Ovis aries: one gene and its partners. The protein of the gene in region 3 interacts with the protein of the main gene of each other region in a pairwise test. Links are inferred from orthologs where the notes say so. Each region holds a gene or a part of one and is shown on either strand. Other genes may lie near its edges. The genes, in order: PEX16, PEX10, PEX19 and PEX11B.

Evidence for each region.
Region 1: the proteins of PEX19 (region 3) and PEX16 interact in binary tests that used the Homo sapiens proteins (3 or more experiments, as listed by UniProt). The link is inferred for Ovis aries from reciprocal best matches to the Homo sapiens genes PEX19 and PEX16.
Region 2: the proteins of PEX19 (region 3) and PEX10 interact in a two-hybrid assay, tested with the Homo sapiens proteins (4 studies listed by BioGRID and IntAct, with this or other methods). The link is inferred for Ovis aries from reciprocal best matches to the Homo sapiens genes PEX19 and PEX10.
Region 4: the proteins of PEX19 (region 3) and PEX11B interact in binary tests that used the Homo sapiens proteins (3 or more experiments, as listed by UniProt). The link is inferred for Ovis aries from reciprocal best matches to the Homo sapiens genes PEX19 and PEX11B.

What each region holds. Positions count from the first base shown.
Region 1 is NC_056068.1:74,872,090-74,876,731, reverse strand, and holds the start of PEX16 (peroxisomal biogenesis factor 16), read left to right. Parts: upstream 1-1,583; 5' UTR 1,584-1,649; coding exon 1,650-1,761; intron 1,762-1,976; coding exon 1,977-2,012; intron 2,013-2,829; coding exon 2,830-2,906; intron 2,907-3,214; coding exon 3,215-3,348; intron 3,349-3,487; coding exon 3,488-3,588; intron 3,589-4,521; coding exon 4,522-4,602; intron 4,603-4,642. UniProt on the Homo sapiens protein: Required for peroxisome membrane biogenesis. May play a role in early stages of peroxisome assembly. Can recruit other peroxisomal proteins, such as PEX3 and PMP34, to de novo peroxisomes derived from the endoplasmic reticulum (ER).
Region 2 is NC_056065.1:49,745,114-49,749,940, forward strand, and holds the start of PEX10 (peroxisome biogenesis factor 10), read left to right. Parts: upstream 1-1,859; 5' UTR 1,860-1,928; coding exon of another isoform or gene 1,929-2,040; intron 2,041-2,474; 5' UTR 2,475-2,539; coding exon 2,540-2,657; intron 2,658-2,979; coding exon 2,980-3,060; intron 3,061-3,413; coding exon 3,414-3,814; intron 3,815-4,827.
Region 3 is NC_056054.1:111,303,798-111,308,501, reverse strand, and holds the start of PEX19 (peroxisomal biogenesis factor 19), read left to right. Parts: upstream 1-1,731; 5' UTR 1,732-1,743; coding exon 1,744-1,813; intron 1,814-3,203; coding exon 3,204-3,313; intron 3,314-3,742; coding exon 3,743-3,908; intron 3,909-4,368; coding exon 4,369-4,454; intron 4,455-4,663; coding exon 4,664-4,704. UniProt on the Homo sapiens protein: Necessary for early peroxisomal biogenesis. Acts both as a cytosolic chaperone and as an import receptor for peroxisomal membrane proteins (PMPs).
Region 4 is NC_056054.1:99,243,758-99,248,347, reverse strand, and holds the start of PEX11B (peroxisomal membrane protein 11B), read left to right. Parts: upstream 1-1,342; 5' UTR 1,343-1,369; coding exon 1,370-1,425; intron 1,426-2,228; coding exon 2,229-2,344; intron 2,345-2,747; coding exon 2,748-2,949; intron 2,950-4,590. UniProt on the Homo sapiens protein: Involved in peroxisomal proliferation. May regulate peroxisome division by recruiting the dynamin-related GTPase DNM1L to the peroxisomal membrane. Promotes membrane protrusion and elongation on the peroxisomal surface.

The DNA of each region.
Region 1 (4,642 bases), on a different chromosome or scaffold from region 3:
GCTTGGAGAATTTTGAGCATTACTTTACGAGCATGTGAGATGAGTGCAACTGTGCGGTAGTTGGAGCATTCTTTGGCATTGCCTTTTCTTTCTTGGAATGAAGACTGACCTTTTCCAGTCCTGTGGCCACTGCTGAGTTTTCCAAATTTGCTGGCATATTGAGTGTAGCACTTTCACAGCATCATCTTTCAGGATTTGAAAGAGCTCAACTGGAATTCCATCACCTCCACTAGCTTTGTTCGTAGTGATGCTTTCTAAGGCCCACTTGACTTTACATTCCAGGATGTCTGGCTCTAGGTGAGTGATCACACCATCGTGATTATCCGGGTCGTGAAGATCTTTTTTGTACAGTTCTGTGTATTCTTGCCACCTCTTCTTAATATCTTCTGCTTCTGTTAGCTCCATACGATTTCTGTCCTTTATTGAGCCCATCTTTGCATGAAATGTTCCCTTGGTATCTCTAATTTCCTTGAAGAGATCTCTAGTCTTTCCCATTCTGTACTATTCTCAGAGTACCATAAACCTGCTGCCCTGGTCCCCAACAGCGCAGCCCCGTGGGCCCCAGCCTTGCCCCGCCCCTTTGCCCACAGCCAATCGGCGGCCGCCTCTTCCGCGCATCCGTTCCCTCCACCTCTGGCCGCTCCTCTCCCGCCGCCACTTCCTTCCAGGGAGGCTACCCTGTTTGGGAAGAGATTCCCTGGAGAAGTTCTCATTTCTTGGGAAGCAGCTGAGAGCTGGAAGATGCACCGGAGGGCCAAAAAGCGCTGTGAAATTGATCCCGAGTTCAAAGAGCCCGTCTGCCCTCTAACCATTTTACAGATGGGGAAACCCGAGGCCCAGAGAAGGGAAAATCCTCGTTAAGGTCACCCCGAGCGGAGAGCAGAAGCCCAGGCCAGGCTTTTCTCCGTGAAGATGGGAGTTCAGGTGCGCGATTTGGCGGGAGGGCGGCGGGAGGGAGGACATGCTCCTTGTGGGAGCCGGGGCACTAACGATGCTGGCCAGGGGGATCTTGACTGCGTGGGAGGCTGGACTTCTCGCTGCCTCAGTTTCCCCAGCACTACCTCTGGGAGAAGTCAGGCGACGAGGCAAGGGGCCAAACGCGCGCCTGCACACAGTCCGATTGTCCTTAGGCTGTCCCCGCGCTCCCCACCCGCCCAAGTCTGATGGAGAAGGCTCCTCTGTGGGCGCTGCCTCCCAAGCCCTTTAAAAGCCAGTCCTCCCGTTCGAGCCTCTCGGCATTCTATTGGGAAGGCTCTTGATCCCTACTCCAGAATTAACTGCTCAGGCTGCCGCGGGAGCTTTTTCCCGGAGCTCTAACTGCGCAGGTGCAAGGCAGCAAACCCGGAAGGCGGAAGAGCCGGTGGGGCCGCCGGGGTCGGGGGCGGAGAGCGTGTGAACCAATGACCTGAAGGAGTTAGGAAGGGCGGGATTAGGCCCGCGGTTACTTAACGCTACCCTGGTGGGAGGTGATTTAAGAAATGGGGTGAAGGGTGCCTCAACTGCCCTTCGCGTCGCCGTCCTTCTGGCCCGCGGAAGTTAAGCAGCAGAGAGGCGGGCCCAGCGCCGGAAGCAGGAAGGAGGGCGCAGGAAGCAGGGCCCCGTAGCCAGTATCGCTGTCGGTCCGTGGGTCTGTCGGTCCCGAGGGCAGGATGGAGAAGCTGCGGCTGGTGGGCCTCCGCTACCAGGAGTACGTGACTCGTCACCCGGCCGCCACGGCCCAGCTGGAGACGGCAGTGCGCGGCCTCAGTTACCTGCTGGCAGGTGCCACCCTGACCTTTGACCCATCCCTTCGGATCTCTGACCTCTGACCCCACCTGCCTCCCCCTCCCTTCCCTGCGGAGCCTGGGTAGTGATCGCTGTGCTTGAGGAGTTCCTTCCAGGTTCCCGTTAGGGCATAGGGAGGGAATGTCCAGGGGCCCGAAGCAGCAGGGAGAGGCAGACTCTCACCGGCGCCTCCTTCTGTGCCTTCTCCCCAGGTCGTTTCGCCGATTCGCACGAGCTGTCAGAGCTGGGTGAGCCGGGCTCTGGGGTGGGTGGGGGGCGAGAGGGTGGGGGAGGGCTTCCTAGATTTCCCGTTAGATCATCCAGTTCTGTGATTGAATCAGACAGGGGTCCAGCGTCCACTGTCCTAGGCCGTCGCGTATGCCCCCTCCCCCGCCATAGTTGAGAGATATGTCTGGGGACCTTGACTGGTCAGGAGGCTGAGCCAAGCGTCCCTTCTGCCTTTGCTCCGTTAATCTTCCCTACAGTCATGTGAAGTGGGTACTGTTATTGTCCTCCTTGTCCAGTTAAGGGAACAGAAGTTTAAGTGAGGTTAAGGAACAGCCACCGAAGGCCTCAACCAGAATTCATGTCCCAATCTCCCAAATTCCAGAATGCCCAGGTTATAACTGCTTCAGTGGTGTTTACCCAGTCAGTACAGGAGAGACAGATCCTGAAAGGATGAGCTGGGTTCTAAAAGGTAGGGATGGAAGAGAATTTCAAGGACAGGCTGCAGAGAGAGCAAAGACCAGGAGGTGACTGCACCTCCCATGTCTCTTCGGAGCATGATGGGCGGTTCTGGGCTGCTGGATAACCAGTGCTATTCAGCAGGACAGTAGCTGGTATGTCATAGAGATCAAACCATCCTTTCTTGTTCTAGCTGCTCACACAAAGGTCGTTGAGGGGAGTGGAGAGCTCTGAGGAAGTGGGTGGCAGGACCTGTTGTTTCCACATATTGTGGGGATGGCTGAGCACAGCAGGGGATAGGTGATCCCTGCTGCTCTAGGGAGAGGGGGAGGGGGTGGAGGCTGCAGAGCCAGCCTCTCAAGGCCACTCTCTGCCCCTCAGTGTACTCTGCCTCTAACCTGCTTGTGCTGCTCAATGACGGAATCCTACGGAAGGAACTTCGGAAAAAATTACCCGTGGTAAGAATTGTGAAGCAGAGGGCTCAGGAACAAAATAGTAACCACCAGCCCGTGTTTGGGGCACGCATTATGGTCTCCTGGAGTACGAGACATGGCTGCATCCACCTGTGCCTGTAGCTGTTGGGCGACAAGTCCAGGCATCAGTGTCCCCTTATCAGGTGAAAAGACTGGGTTTCACAGGGTAGAGTCGCCTGTCCCAGCAGGAGATCTCAGGCTTAAGCACTTAATCTTGGGAAGGGGAGGTGTCCCCTGGGGGAGGAGCTGAAACCAGGGGGACCTCCTGACCTCTTGGCCTGGGGTTCTTGCAGTCCCTGTCCCAGCAGAAGCTGCTGACATGGCTGAGCGTGCTGGAGTGTGTGGAGGTGTTCATGGAGATGGGGGCCACCAAGGTGTGGGGTGAAGTAGGACGTTGGCTCGTCATCGCCCTCATCCAGCTGGCCAAGTATGTCGGGACTGTGGAGGGCCGGCCTGGGGTGGGGGTCACTGAGACCAGCTGTACCGATGGTGTTCAGTAGAGCAGCCTGGACCCCTGCCAGCTAGCCACCTCCCCCTTCCCCAGCCCTGCCGTACTCCCAACCCAGGGCTGTACTTCGGATGTTCCTGCTGATCTGGTTCAAGACTGGCCTCCAGACCTCACCCCCCATCGTTCCGCTGGACAGGGAGACCCAGGCACGGTCCCAGGGTAAGTGCCTACCCACTCTGGAGTGGAATGGGGCACGGGGCTGATTGGTAAATGAGAGCTGACCTACGTACTGTCACCGTGGAGCACACCTCTCCCCATCAACTCATTTTGTCCTCATCGTCTTATACTGGTATTTTACAGAAGAGAAAGAATGATGAAGTCAGAGGCCAGATCAGAGCTTAAACTCAGAGCTTCTGACGTTGGAGTCCTCAGTCTCCATTGTTATGGGCTGCGGGAAGAGGGGACAGAGCATCAGGAGGAAGCAGGGGTCTTGCCAGCCTTGTCTTTGGGCTGGCTCTGTATCAAGAGCACAGCCTCATGAGGCAGGGTACCCAGCAGATGCGCCCCTTCAGGGCTTTGGGCCCATCAGCTGCTGGCCTCTGGTCTTACCCCCTTGACTTTGAGTTGGGGGCAGGTCTTCACTTCTGTTTTCATGGTCATGTTGAAAGCAAAGCTCTCAGAAGATACACCCTTCCCCTCCTTCTTAAAATTTTTTGTTTATTGGCCACGCCACACGGCCTTTGGGATCTTAGTTCACTGACTGCGGGTGGAACCCTCGCCCCCTGCAGTGGAAGCATGGAGTCTTAACCGCTGGGCCACCAGGGAAGTCCAGATATAGCCCCTCTGGCTGTGGTTCCCATGGACCACCGGCCCCCCTGCCTTGTTCCAGTGCCTGGGAGGCCTTAGTTCTTGGCTGGTATATCTGCACAGGTGATACTGGCCTTTCCCCAGGTTGGGGAGGGCTGCAGAATGCTCCCTGCTATGGATAGGTCCCAGGCACAGCCTCTGCTGTGGTGTCTTTGACTCAGCTGCTGTCTTCGTACAGGTTTATCCATTCTCCCCATAGCCCATGAGCGTTCACTGCACCTGCATTCGCTTGTAGGCTCTGCACGTGTCCCTCTGACAGTATGACCTTTTATCTGTTGCTGCTAGATGGTGACCACAGCGCTGGTAGCCAGGAGCAGTCATATGTGGGGAAGCGGTCAAACCGGGTGGTGCGAACCCTCCAGAACAGTAAGTGTGGGAGGTTGCTGGATGAGACAGCTCGGTGCTT
Region 2 (4,827 bases), on a different chromosome or scaffold from region 3:
TCCCAGGCCCCACTTCCCTGAGAACAGTCACACAGTAACAGTTTCTGGCCTTGCCCTGCCCAGTGTGGCAGTGCTGGTAGGAAGACCTGGACATGCAGTGCGGGGCAGGGAGGTGGAACCAGCCGGTGGGGGAGGTGACACAGGTTAGGCCTGCCCCTCAAGGTTCTGACGGAGCCAGGTGGTAACCCTGAGGAAGGGGACAAAACCTCTTCAAATCAACCTTGGTGCTGGTGGACACTGTCTGTGCAAACCCACAGGCCAGGGCGTCTCTGGGGCCAGCCTGTCTGACGAGAGTTGGCCAGAAACTAGTGAGGCTTGTGTCTCCACCTGGCCTCTGCCTGAGGGTCCACCCCAGACTACAAACCAAAGCAGTGGGTGGCCTCTGTGACCAGGGTACACAGACAAGGGCACCACTCCAAGGGTCACTGGGGCTTCAGTAGCAGGAGGGACTGTGGGACCACCCAGGTCCTGTCTCCTCCCTCTAGGTGGGGCCTGCCTGCACCTGGTGGAGCCCGACGAGACCTGAGTCTGTCCCCAGGCTGGCTCCGTGCAGCTGAGCTGTGCTGCCTGGGCACATACCAACATTCATGTGGGAGCAAAAGTGAGGCAGGAGCTGCAACCCATCTCAGCCCACACCCTCCCAGCCAAAGTCAGGGCCCTGGTGGTTCCCCTACCCCCTCGGGTCACATGCCTCCTTTCTCTCCTACCCCTTAGGTCCGAAAGGACAAGGCCCTCTGGTCCTTGTGGCGCGTCCCTACAACCCCCTCCACTGAGGCACACATACAACTGAGGCACACATACAGACACTTTGATGCTGCAGTCCATGGGGACAAAAAGAGTCGGACACAACCGAGTCATTGAACTGATGGCCTGCTCACTTCTCAAGTGACTCAGTGGTAAAGAATCTGCCTGCTAATGCAGGAGACACAGGAGACTGGTTTGATCCCTCAGTGGCGAAGATCCCCTGGAGGAGGAAATGGCAACCCACTCCAGCATTCTTGTCTGGAGTATTCCATGGACAGAGGAGCCTGGCGGGTGACAGTCCATGGGGTGGCAAAGAGTTGGACAGACTGAGCAAGCACACACACACACACAACCTGCTCCAGACCCAGAGCCCTTAGGACACCCCAACTGCCTCCTCTCACTGCCCTCTCCCCAGGCCCCTCACTGGGCCCTGAACTGCAGCTCAAGTCCAGCTGTAGCCTGTGCCTGGGCATCGGGATCCCCTCTGGTGCGTGGCCTCCCAGTCTCCCCACCCCCCACCCCTCACCCCTGCGGCCCTCTTTGGTCCCTGCTCTGAGAGAAGCTGAGAGGAGTCGGGGGTCTGCACGTGTGGGTCAGCCGCTAGTATAAACACCGAGGTTCAAGAATCCGCGCTCCCTGCCCTCTCCCGGGCCCCAGAGCTCCTTTCCTGGGCCCACAGGCGGGTCGCAAGTATTAGAACTCAGGGGCGCCAGCGCCCCTCAGAGAGAACTGCAGGGAGCGGGGAGACCACAGCCCACCTTACTTCCGGCCCCGGGGGCGGCCAAGTGCCCCACCAAGGGGAGTCAGCACCTGCTGTGGCTCTGACTCCTCTCCCAGTTTCTGGGGGCCGTCCCCGCGGTCACTTCCCACACTGTGCCGCTCACCAGTCCCCGGCTCACCCGCCCCCTTCACCCGCCCCCTCCACCCGCCCCCTTCACCCGCCCCCTTCACCCGCCCCCTCCAGCCCTGCGTCCGCACCCTGGGCCAGGTTCGCGCCGCTCGGACCGCGCCGCTGTCAACCCCGCCCCGCCCCAGGCCCCGCCCTCAGTGACGCGCAAGGTCTGCGCCGCACGCCGAGCCCAGTTGTCATCTGGCGCCGCCTCGTGGGCGTGGCTATCTGGGTGCCTCCGTCGCCTCCCTGTACCCCGGTCCCCAAGATCCCCGCGGCCCTGCGACCCTTGACCATGGCTTCCGCGGCCGCCAGCCCGCCGGAGGTGGTCCGCGCGGCGCAGAAGGACGACTACTACCGCGGCGGGCTGCGGAGCGCGGCGGGCGGCGCCCTGCACAACCTGGCAGGTGAGGGCCGCTGCAGGGGTCTTGGGGGCCGTACGGGCCGTGGGGGCGCGAGGCGGGAAAACGAGCCCCAGGCCCGCCGGTCAGCCCTCTGCAGGCTCGGCCTAACCCTGCGCGCCCCGCGAGACCTGAGCTGAAGGAAGGAGCGGATGCTCCGGTCTTTGACCCCTGCTGCAGAGGGCGAGGGCGGAGGCCAGGCACCAGGCGCAGAAGAATTCACGGCTCTGCTGACACGAGGCTACCGTGGAGCAGGGTCGTTGGAGTACAGTGTAGGGGCAAGAGGGTGGGGTAGATTCCAGCCGACAGCGGGCTCCTTCGGAGCAGCTGAAGGGAAGCTGGACTGTACACTGGGGTCGGGTGGCCATGGGCCGGCCTTGGGCAAGAGAGGAACACGACAGGATCAAAACAAATGGCCCGTGTATTAATTTTGCTAACAGGTTCACTTACTCCATGCCAGACACTGCTCTCCGTGCTTCAGAACATTAACTCGTTTTGTTAACACATGCCTGCCTGGAGGACCTGTTGCCATTACCCTCCTCAGAGACAGAAAAATGGGGATCACAGAGATATAACTCACCTGAGCTCACAGCCAGCAGTGTGGGAGCTCCGGTTTGATGCTGGTCAGTGGTCTTGGCTTGAGCTCCCGGTCACTGTGTTACACTGCCTGTCCTTGTGGTTCTCTAGGTTCTAGAGCAGTTGCCTAGGTGGATCCTGGAGGGGGCATGGCTGCAGGTGGGTAGGTTCTCAGGACACTCAGGGCCCAGGCGAGGCAGGTGTCAATGGAAAGAGTGAACAGCGTGAGAGTCCAGGGAGCGCGAGCAGAGTGTGGGGAGCGAGTCAGGGGCTCGCTGAGCCTGGGCAGCAGGAGCGAGGATTGTTCTGACCCTCATGCCCCACGGCCCCCAGCCCCTCAGGAATAACGCATACAGTTTCTCCTCTCAGGTGCGAAGAAGTGGCTGGAGTGGAGGAGAGAGGTAGAGCTGGTGTCAGATCTCGCCTACTTCAGCCTCACCACACTAGCAGGTAGCGGCCACAGTGCAACCTCCCGAGGGGCCCTGAGGACAGGAAAGGACTGCCTGCAGAGGGAGCTTTCTGGAGGTGCTTCACAGTGTCCCTCAACTGGCCCGCATGCAGCCTCTATGAAGGAAGGGACCCAGACCCCTCCCTAGGTGGGGCCCAGGCCCTGAGTCCAGGCCAGGCCTCTGGAAGCCCTGAGGTTCCCTGTCACATCTGTCTAGGACTGTTTCTCTGCAGCTGAACCTGTGGCCCGAGGGGTCCCAGCACTGTGCCCTGCCACAGGGTGTGGGCTGTGAGGATCATCCTTCGGAGGGGAGGTGGGGGCCCGGTAGAGATCACTGAGGCCCCTCTCCCTGCAGGCTACCAGACCCTTGGGGAGGAATACGTCAGCATCGTGCAGGTGGGCCCATCACAGCGCCACGTGCCCTCAAAGCTGCGACGCGGGGTCCTGGTTGCGCTGCACACCGTCCTGCCCTACCTGCTGGATAAGGCCCTGCTCCACCTGGAGCACGAGCTGCAGGCTGCCGGCGACAGCGCTTGGCCCTTGCGGGGCAGCCTGGCCCCCAGCAGCCAGTCAGGGGTGAGGCGCTGGGTGCACCGGCGCATGGCCGGCCTGACAGAACAGCAGCAGGGGGTGCTCCTGCGGGCCATGTCAGTGCTCAGGCAGGGCCTCGGGTGCCTCCAGCGTCTCCACGTGGCCTGGTTCTACATCCACGGTGTCTTCTACCACCTGGCCAAGAGGTTCACGGGCATCACCTACGTAAGTAACAGGTCTGGCTTGTCTGTGGAGGCTGTTCTTCGGGGACTATGCCCACAAGCAGTCACAGGGCCGGAGCTGAAATCCCCACTGGAAGCATGGGTCTTGTCGGGTCCTGTTTTACTAAAAGACCGGAGGAAGTTTGGTTTCCAAATACCCTGATGAGGGTGGGGTGAGCCTTTTTTCCACTGCCAGCACCTGTGGCCACGTTGCTGTATACCCGGGCTCCTGGGCCCTATGCCCACCCCATCCAGGCCATCCTTACAGAGGGTCAGGTTTGGGGCCATCCCCCTGAGGATGACCCAATAACAACCACATGGACCCTGTTGCCACCAGCATCCCTGCTAGCCTCCCACCTGGGGAGGTCTGATGGTCTCTCTAGACCTGGTGGTCTCCGCCCATCACAGGGACTCCAACCCTGCTGGGTCTCAGCTGATGCCCTGGCTTCAGAGTTCATCCAGAAGGCCTCCCCTTGGGCCCCACCTCCCCAAGGTCTCCAGGCTCTCCCCCACCCCCTGGCCTCCCTTGGCAGGGGTGTCCAGCGCCTCTGCGCCTCCTCCTCCCAGCTCCAGTGCTCACTGCACCCGCACTACCCGTTGTGTCAGGTGTCTGTCGAGCTGCTGCAACCCACTCAGGGCCTCGGGGCAGCCACGGGGTCTCTTGCTCCGCAGACACCAGGGCCCCACCTCTTGGGCTCCGGCTGGTCTGGCTAACCTGACAGTCCCTGCTCCCAGCTAGGAAAGGAGACAGCAGTGGAGGGCAAGCAGCTTTCCATTGGAGGATGTGGCTGGGAGTCCCAGCCTGCAGAGAGTCACCTGGGCAGCCCAGGGCCTTGATACAAGCAGGAGCTTCTGTTTCCGAATGGGGATGAGTAGTGGATCTGCCATGCAGGGCTCGCCTGCCGTCCGCAGGGCTCCCCCGCTCAGGCCTCTTTGCTGGTTCCTTTTCTGTGAGGCTTGAGTGCCTAGCAGTCCCCTTCCTACGATGCCTTGCTTGCAACCAGTGACCTGCAGGCT
Region 3 (4,704 bases):
GCTACAGTCACTGTCTGCAGTGATCCTGGAGCCCAAGAAAATAAATTCTCTCACTGTTTCCCTTGTTTCCCATCTATTTGCCATGAAGTGATGGGACCAGTACTCTTGCCTGGAAAATCCTATGGATGGAGGAGCCTGGTAGGCTGCAATCCATGGGGTCACTAAGAGTCGCACACGACTGAGCGACTTCACTTTCACTCTTCACTTTCACGCATTGGAGAAGGAAATGGCAACCCACTCCAGTGTTCTTGCCTGGAGAATCCCAGGGACAGGGGAGCCTGATGGGCTGCCGTCTATGGGGTCGCACAGAGTCAGACAGGACTGAAGCGACTTAGCAGCAGCAGCAGCAGATGGGACCAGATGCATTATCTTAGTTTTCTGAATACTGAGTTTTAAGCCAACTTTTTCACTCTCCTGTTTCACTTTCATCAAGAAAGTGAAAGAAAAAAAGAAAGTGAAAGAGGCTCTTTAGTTCTTCTTCACTTTCTGCCATAAGGGTGGTGTCATCTGCATGCCTGAGGTTATTGATATTTCTCCCAGCAATCTTGTTTCCAGCTCCTGTTTCATCCAGCCCAGTGTTTCTCATGATGTATTTTGCATATAAGTTAAATAAGCAGGATGACAATATACAGTCTTGGTGGATTCCCTTCCCTATTGGGAACCACTCTGTTGTTCCATGTCCTGTTCTAACTGTTGCTTCTTGACCTGCATACAGATTTCTCAGGAGACAGGTCAGGTGGTCTGGTATTCCCATCTCTTGAAGAATTTTCCACAGTTTGTTGTGAACCAGAGTCAAAGGCTTTGGCGTAGTCAATAAAGCACAAGTAGATGTTTTTCTGTTCAGGGAAGGAACTCTACAGTACCTTTTTGCTTAATCCAAAGTCCAAGAGTCGCTTTTCTACCCGATTTGATTAGACTAATATCGAGTTCTAAGTTCTTGGCCCTGTGATAGTTTTAATGGGGTACAGGAAATGTGAGATAGCCAGTAGATTCTGCAGAGAAACATGCCTCTTTAGGATCTGAGAGAGCAAAGAGTAGACAATGAATGCCCAAATTTTAATCCCCAGCCCAGGAGCTAGGGATGCAGCAGTGAAGATGACGGATGAAAATCCTTGCCATCATCGTGCTTAAACTGCAAAGGGCTTAACGGGAGATAAAAACGATAAATAAGTAAAACGTATAGTATGTCACATAGAGGTAAGTTTTGAGAGAAATGGAGGGAAAGTGGGCAGGATTTGTATATGTATGTGTGTGGGAAGGGTTGCAGTTTTATTTAGTGAGGCCAAAGAAGGCATTTCAGAGAAGATGACATATGAGTAAAATACTGAAGTGAGAGAAAACTACCATGTTGGGTATACCGTAACTTCCTTATTGATTACAAACGCAGAGCTTCTGGTGGCTCGTGGGCAGTTTGTGCCAATTTGGCATACCCACAGCTCTGGAAAAAAATAATAAGAAAGCCAGGTAATGTGGGAAGTTGAAAGAAAGGAAGCCAGGCCAGTAAAAACAAAAACAAAAAAAAACCTGGCAGAAGGTAAGAGCAAACTCACCTCTGTTAGGTCAGCGTGCCAGTAGAAAGAAGAGGGGTGGCGGGGGCGGGAATCGGAGCATCCTGTCCCTTTAAAAATGGCGGCCCGGCACGGACCAACAATACCATTGGTTGCGCGAGCAGAGGGGGCGGGCACAGGGGCGGGGCGCGGAGCCTCGGAGTCCCACCTCCTACGGCAAGTCAGAGGTGGCAAGATGGCCGCGGCTGAGGGGGACGGTGGTGTCCGGGCCGAAGCCGACCGGGAATTGGAAGAGCTTCTGGAAAGTAAGAGCCCGTCATGGGAAAGCCCCAAAGAGGGCGGATGTAAGGATCCATTCAGGGGGTTAAGTAAACCTGCGATGTTTGGGGCGGAGTAAGAAAGGCTCTCCAAAGGCTGGACGGGGGCGGAGAGTCTGACTGCGACCCTCGAGAAAATCTCTGGGTCACCCTCTCCTTCCTCTGCAGCGGTAGTTGAGGAGTTCTCTCTGGGTCCCTGAACGGCCCACACTGTTGATCGCCCTGCCGGAGGGGAAGCTAACCCAGAGGACGTTTCACGCTCCCTCTCCAAACTCCCCTTACTTTAGTAAGTTCTGAAGTCTGACTTTCTCCCCACCAGCAGCAGCATTTGGTCCTCAGGGGGCAGCGAACCGAACAACCACGAATTGCTTCCATTAACTATTAGGAAGCCTGTAGTGCGTTCTTCTGTTAACTGTCCTGCCCTCCTTAACAGAAAAGACACTCCTTTTTTTCTCCCAGTCCTTTCATCCACCAGGCCCCTTTCCAGTTCTTTCATCATGTCAGAGCTCAAACCCTTCCCATTAGTTTGAAAAACAGGATGAGACAGCCTCAGGGGAAGACAGTTCACTCTGGAAAGAAGGTGGCTGTACTTTTCCTCCTCAGCCCTGCCATCCACTCCTGTCTGGTTTGGTTTCTTGTCCAGAGTGGGGCTGGTGTCTTTCCCCCTAGGCCTGGCAAATATAGTGGTGGTGAGAACACAGGCTTTTCAGGGTCGAGGTGAATATTTATTGTCTCTTGCTCAGTCACAGAGTGGGCAGGCGGAAAGGTGAACAGAAATGGTGAGAAGTGCTAAGTGACTGTGTGAGTCTGCAGAGATGAGACCACAGGGAGCTCTAGCAACTCTGGGGAGGGAGACCTAAATTGAAAGAGAAAAGAGAGTTCAGGGCCCTCCCGTGGAGTATAATATGGAGTCCCTCAGTTTGTACCAGGACCCATGGGAAGCTGGGTGAAACATCTTAAGGCTTCTGCTCTCTTGCCAAAGATTATTCCTTGTAGGGCTCCAGAGTGAGTTCTAGGGGGGTTAAGGACATCTGTGTTCTCTGTTTCTCTTGAATATCTGTATGGGATTTCTAGGAACCATTAAAGTATGGCAAAGAGGCATTGTGTAGATGAACTGTCCTCTTACAGCTTTGAGAGATGTTTTTTTACACCTTAAGAGACTTCTTCCCCTGTGATTACAGTATGTTAGGTAATGGGGAGGGGGAGGGAGAAGCTTATTGAGGAGTGGGTCAGGAGAGGGAGACTCAAAAAAAAGGAGAGCATTTTAGGAAGGTTGGCAGCTTGAAAGATTGTTTTCTTAATGCTTTGCTCAGAAACCCCTCTAGCCTTGCATTCTCATCCATCACCAACACATACACTGTGTCTCTTGTCTCTGAAGGTGCTCTTGATGATTTCGATAAGGCCAAACCCTCCCCAGCACCCCCTCCTACCACCACGGCCCCTGATGCTTCAGGGCCCCAGAAGAGATCGCCAGGAGACACTGCCAAAGTATAAATTCCACCCACTTAAGGGATGGGGAGGGTGTGGGCGTGCAGCTCCAAGCAGAGGTGGGGCAGGCCTTTGTGGGCCAGAGGGGAGTCGGGGAGGGTGCCTTGGCCTCACATTGGTGAGTGCTCTTGCAGGCCTCAGTCCTTGTGAAACAGGGACTTGAGATTGAGTACAGGGATCTCAAGGAAGTTCCTTAAGAAAAGAACAGATTTAAATGGTTGGATTGGGAATACCAGCCCATAGCCTTCCCTTAGTGGCCAGATGGCCTTTTTGCTGTTCTCATGAAGGGAAGTAGTCAGAATGCCCAATGGAGGTGGGTAGGAGGGAAGCACTGCACCTCCCAGCGCCACTGCCTGTGGCTTCTGTCAGAAACCATGTACACTGGGGTGCCAAGTAAGAGATGCGCTTTGGCCACATTCTCCCCTGCAGGATGCCCTCTTCGCCTCCCAGGAGAAGTTTTTCCAGGAACTGTTTGACAGTGAGCTGGCTTCCCAAGCCACTGCAGAGTTTGAGAAAGCAATGAAAGAGTTGGCTGAGGAAGAGCCCCACCTGGTAGAGCAGTTCCAAAAGCTTTCAGAGGCTGCTGGGAGAGTAGGTAAGGAAGAGAAACAGTGCGAAATATCTGAACAAACCTCTTGGGTTATTGTCCCTTGACAACACCAAAATTTTTTGTAAAAGTTGACAGTAATTATGATACCACTGCCATGGGATGGGGGAGGAGATGGAAGGAAAAAGGAGACCCTGTTTAATGAAAGGGGTGAGATAGGTTGGAAAGTAACAGAAAAGATTATTGAAAAGTGATAATTTCATTTTTATTTATTTATTTTGAAAAGTGATAATTTTAAAGATCAGTGTTAATGTGGGTGTCATTGTAGAGAACAAACTGAGACACAGTCCATGTAGATTTATGAAAATAACTATGAAGATAAACGTATTCAAAGATTTGGAGTGTAGCAATTCACTAGTAAATGCTCCATGTCCAAGCTGGTAACCAGGTCAGTCTTAAGCAAGCAGTTAAAATCCTAAATGACCTAGGCTCTTTTCATCTCTCCCAGGCAGTGATGCGACTTCCCAACAAGAATTCACCTCTTGCCTAAAGGAGACGTTAAGTGGACTAGCCAAGAATGCCACTGACCTTCAGGTGAGAGGGAAGATGGGGAACCACATGGGTCCCACTCACAGAGATTTCACCGGCAGAGCCTCAAAAGACAGACTCTCTTGGGTGTCATCTCAAGTCTGTTCTTGCTTATTTTGCTACAGGCATGTTTAAATAGTTCTTTCCCACCTGAAAAGTTGGTTAGTGTCCCAAGAAGGTGGTATACTTGCTCATTTCTCTTCTGTTCTTTCTAGAACTCTGGCATGTCAGAAGAGGAACTGACCAAGGCCATGGA
Region 4 (4,590 bases), about 12 Mb from region 3:
TAATGTTGACTATGGCCAAGCACACCCCTTGAATCCGAAGGCTCATGTTATGTACTCAAATTCTTGTCCAGTCTAACCCTGAGTCCCAAGTCACTCACCTGGGGCAAGGTGAGCAGGAAGCTGAGTCCCCAGGCTACCCCAAGAAGTTTCCTACCAGCTGAGCGCAGTCCAAACGGGTGGAGTACGGCTGCTTGGTGGTCGAGCCCAATAATTACAGGCAGGAAAGCTGCGGCCTACATGGCTACTAGTTTCAGGAACGTGAGTGTACGACATGCAAAGTCCCCGGCCAGCCATTGAACAGTGATATTCCAGGTCGCAACTTGGGGCATAACCACAAAAGTGACCAGTAAGTCGGCAACTGCTAAATGGGCGAACAGTCGTACCGGAGAGGGACGGAGCTGGCTGGGTTGCGGCCGTGTCCCTGACCACACCACGGCCAGGTTCCCTCCAGCCGAAGAAACAAACAGCACGACAGTCACTCCCACTCGCACCTTGGCGGCAACTGAGAAGGTGGGCAGCTCTGCGCCCTCCACCTCTACTCCTGATCCTACCCAGACCTCCTCCCCCGCCGCTGATGACCCCCAAGGGGTGACGTTGCCTGCAGACATTGTGACCTGGAAAGAAAAGGGGCGGGGCGATGAAGTGTGGGTCTGAAGAGGTGAGCTGCGTCCAGTTTCTTCTTCCTCCTTAGGATCTGAGATGGTTATTTTGCGAATTTCGTCCACTAAAGCCTCTATCTCTGGAGACTCCGTCTGTAATCTGGAGGTCACCTGTCCAACTGTCAGGGGCTTGTAGGGACTAGGAATCTGGTGCTGGTTTCTACTTCCGCAGACTCCTTTAGCCCCCTGGAGCCCTGAATTCGATAGAAGCGTGAGAGTGAGTGTGTGTGTGTGTGTGTGTGTGTGTGTGTGTGTGTGTGTGTGGCGAGTGTTCCGCTGTAAGCACCCCTGGGTCAGGGGCAACCCCATCCTAGTGGTCCTGGAGAGAGCACTGCGGCGCCTTCTCGCTCCGCCCCGACTCCTGCAAGCCTCGCCCTTGGTCCAGAATATTTAAAGAAGACTGTGCCTCTGGAGGCTTGCTCATGAAATAGAGATCTTGTGATTAGAGAACGAGACGACGGAGACCACGCACACAGACACACACCCCTCCACCTCCCCCAATCCCCCCTGCCAAACACACAAACCATACAGATGTAGGCCCAGAGACAAGTGCTTCTCGTTCTGAAATTCCGTTTCAGGGGCCGGTTCCACTCGCTTCAGTTTCTGATGATGTTTGTCCCTCGTGCGGCACCGTTGGGTCGTTCGGGAGGCGTGACTAGGGGCGGGAAGCGAGGCGGGAGCGGAGCTGCAGAACGGGTGCCGCCGCTGTCATGGACGCCTGGGTCCGCTTCAGCGCCCAGAGCCAGGCCCGGGAGCGACTGTGTAGGTGCGGCCCGAATAGGAAAGGGGGACGGGCGGGCGGGCAGAGGAAGAGCCTCGTGAGGCGAGGTCAGTTCACACTACGGGGGTCAAAAAGGGTCAACTCGGGCTACGGGGGCCCGGACGGACCGCGAGGGGCTGATTTGAGCCGGCCGCGAGGCCTTGATTCGTTCCTGCTCGTGAGAAAGATGGGGAAACTGAGGCACGAGTGGGCCAGCGGGCAGGCGGCTCAGGGTTGTGTGTTCACAAAAGACCAATACTTTCCTCCCTGGGCGACGGTGGGACGAGGAGCGTTCTCCCCGTGACAGATAGAGATCTGGACTGTGTCCTCAGAGCTAAGGAGGCACTCCTGAGTTCCTGTTATCCCCTTTACCCTCCGCCCTCCACCTCCGCCCTGCCTTCTAGTCTTCATTCATCTCAAGGGCCTTGAAGATCTCTTAGTTCACCTATTTTGAAGACTAACCTGTTCTCCAGCCATCTCCCGGCCCTTCACAGGACATTGCACACTCACTGAGGTGCTTGTGGTCTTGCGATGGTCCTCCTGCCTTCTTCACTCTCCTCTTCAGGCTGCATCATTGTTAAATCTCATTTCCTCAATTCGAAGTAGTGTTCCCCAGCCCCTACTAGGCTCTGTTGTATCCTCAATGCCTTTCTCTTCCCTTGGCCTGGGGGAGAAACTAAGATATAGGCCTGAAGAGGAGGAAAGGGAACGGTCTCAAACTGGGAAGGGGGTGATCCATGGTTGCCTTTTGGAGGACATTTTTGAGGGGGAGATAAAGGAGGTCTCTACCTTACCTCTCTCTCCTCCAGGGCTGCCCAATATGCTTGCTCTCTTCTTGGCCATGCACTGCAGAAACATGGGGCCAGTCCTGAGTTACAGAAACAGATTCGACAACTGGAAGGTCATCTGAGCCTAGGAAGAAAGCGTAAGTAACTAGGCCTTTCCTTTTATTAGTCCAATACTTCTTCCATCCCCAGCCATTATTCCTTAGTCCCTCCTTCCTATTTTTGACCAGTGCCAATGCATCGTGGTTTGCCTCTGTACTTATCCTGTGCAGGCCTCCCAGCTGAGATAAGACAGCAGGGATAAGGTCAGTGAGGGATTGGAGAGAATGAGGCAGATTTGAGAAAGCTAAACTGGGACACAAATTAATAAAAAATTTGAACTAAAAAAGATTAAACTTTCTGCTGTTTTTTAAAAAGTTGTTTATTATTGTTTCTATCACTTGCCTGACTTTCATTCTCTTGCTTTCCCTCTTTCTCTGTATCTTGTTCTGTGTCTGCCTTTCTACTTTCAAATCCTTGCTTTCCGTTGCTAATCTCCACAAGTTCTACGCCTTGGTAACTCAGCAGATGCCCTTGAGTCAGCCAAACGAGCTGTGCACCTATCAGATGTTGTCCTGAGATTCTGCATCACTGTTAGTCATCTCAATAGAGCCTTGTACTTCGCCTGTGACAATGTCCTGTGGGCTGGGAAGTCTGGACTCGCTCCCCGTGTGGATCAGGAGAAGTGGGCCCAGCGTTCTTTCAGGTTTGATATTCTTTTATCCTACAAGGTCTATCTATTCTTCATACTGCCTACCTTGCCTTTCATGAGAGAACAATCTTTTAAGGTCTTCCCAGAATATACACGTCTGAATCACTTGGCTTCAGATCTTCATTTAGATCTTATACCATCAGAGAATAATGAATGGGGGCAGATGGAAGAGGGATGCTCTTTCATGGCGAATGACTAAGATTGGACAAGACTAGATATTAATTATATTGCTTTAATTCTTCTTCTGTCTATACCACAGATTTATGCCCCTCATTGTCTACACATTCATTCATTCTAAAAATACTTAGTAGCTGCTTACTGTGAGCCAGGGAATAAAGCAAAGAGCTAAGTAGATATGGTTCCTGCTCTCATGAAGCTTCTAGTTTAGTAGGGGAGTCTGATATTAAAACAAATAATCACCAAACCAAATATTTGTGGGAAAGTATAGGATGTTAGCCCCTGGAGGAGGGCATGGCAACCCACTCCAGTATTCTTGCCTGGAGGATTCCATAGACAGAGGAGCCTGGCGAGATACAGTCCATAGGGTCAGAGTCGGACACAACTGAAGCGACTTAGCACATACGTAGGATATTAGAGCTTTATAACGGGGGTGCTAATATAGATATAAAGGTCAGGGAAAAGAGAACCCTTTGAGAAAATGAACTTTTATTTCAGACCTGAAGTCTGAGTAGAAGTTATACAAAGCAAGCAGTATAAAGAAGAAACAGCAAATGACTTATTCTAAGGCTTTGAGGCAAGAAAGACTTCTTAGAATTAGAGCGGTGGAAAGAAAGCCAGTGTGGTTGACAGTACTGAGGAAGGGCACAAGTTCAAACTGGAGAGGTAGACCAGGGCCAGATCATTCATGCAAGGTCGTCTAGGTGATGGTAGGATTTTTTTCATTTAGTTTTGTTTAAATTTTATCCTAAGTCCAGTGGTTCTGAGCAGGGATGTGACATGATTCAAACTGCATTTAGAAGATCTGTCTTTCTGTACTGTGGAAAATGGATTGCAGTAGAACTAAAGAGGAGAAGATTCTTTAATGTGACCATGAAATGATGTTGGCTTGGATTAAAGAGCAGGCTGGTAGTGAAGGTGGAAAGGAATATGATTTGAGAATAAAATTTTCTGTCTATATATCACCTATATTTGTTTTTTGCTTCCCTATGATTTGCTTTGTTATTTTACATTATATTGCTTCTTTCCATCTCTGCTTATGTCTTGCTTTTCATCTTTCTCAGTGATTTACAATTATAACAAGGCTTATGGTATATGAAGGATGGGGGCAGAGGCATGGATAGAATGGTGTGAAAAAGCAACTCTCTAGAAGAGTTTCTATGCCGTGTCTACTCTTTCATTCCATAAATATTTCTTCAGCTCTTACTATGTGCTAGGCGTAAGTCTAGACACAAAGATGCAGTGGTAAAGACAAACAAGAGCCTTGCTCCTATGGAGCTTACATTGTAATGGGAAGGGACAAAGACACAGTAAATAAGAAAAACGTCAGAGAGTGGTAAATGCTGTGCAGGAAATTAAAGTAGGGTCAAGTGATAAGATGGTAAATGGCTTGCTACTTTAGAATGGGCGGTCAGAGAAGACCTTCCTGAAGGGGTGACATTTAAGCTCAGACATGAA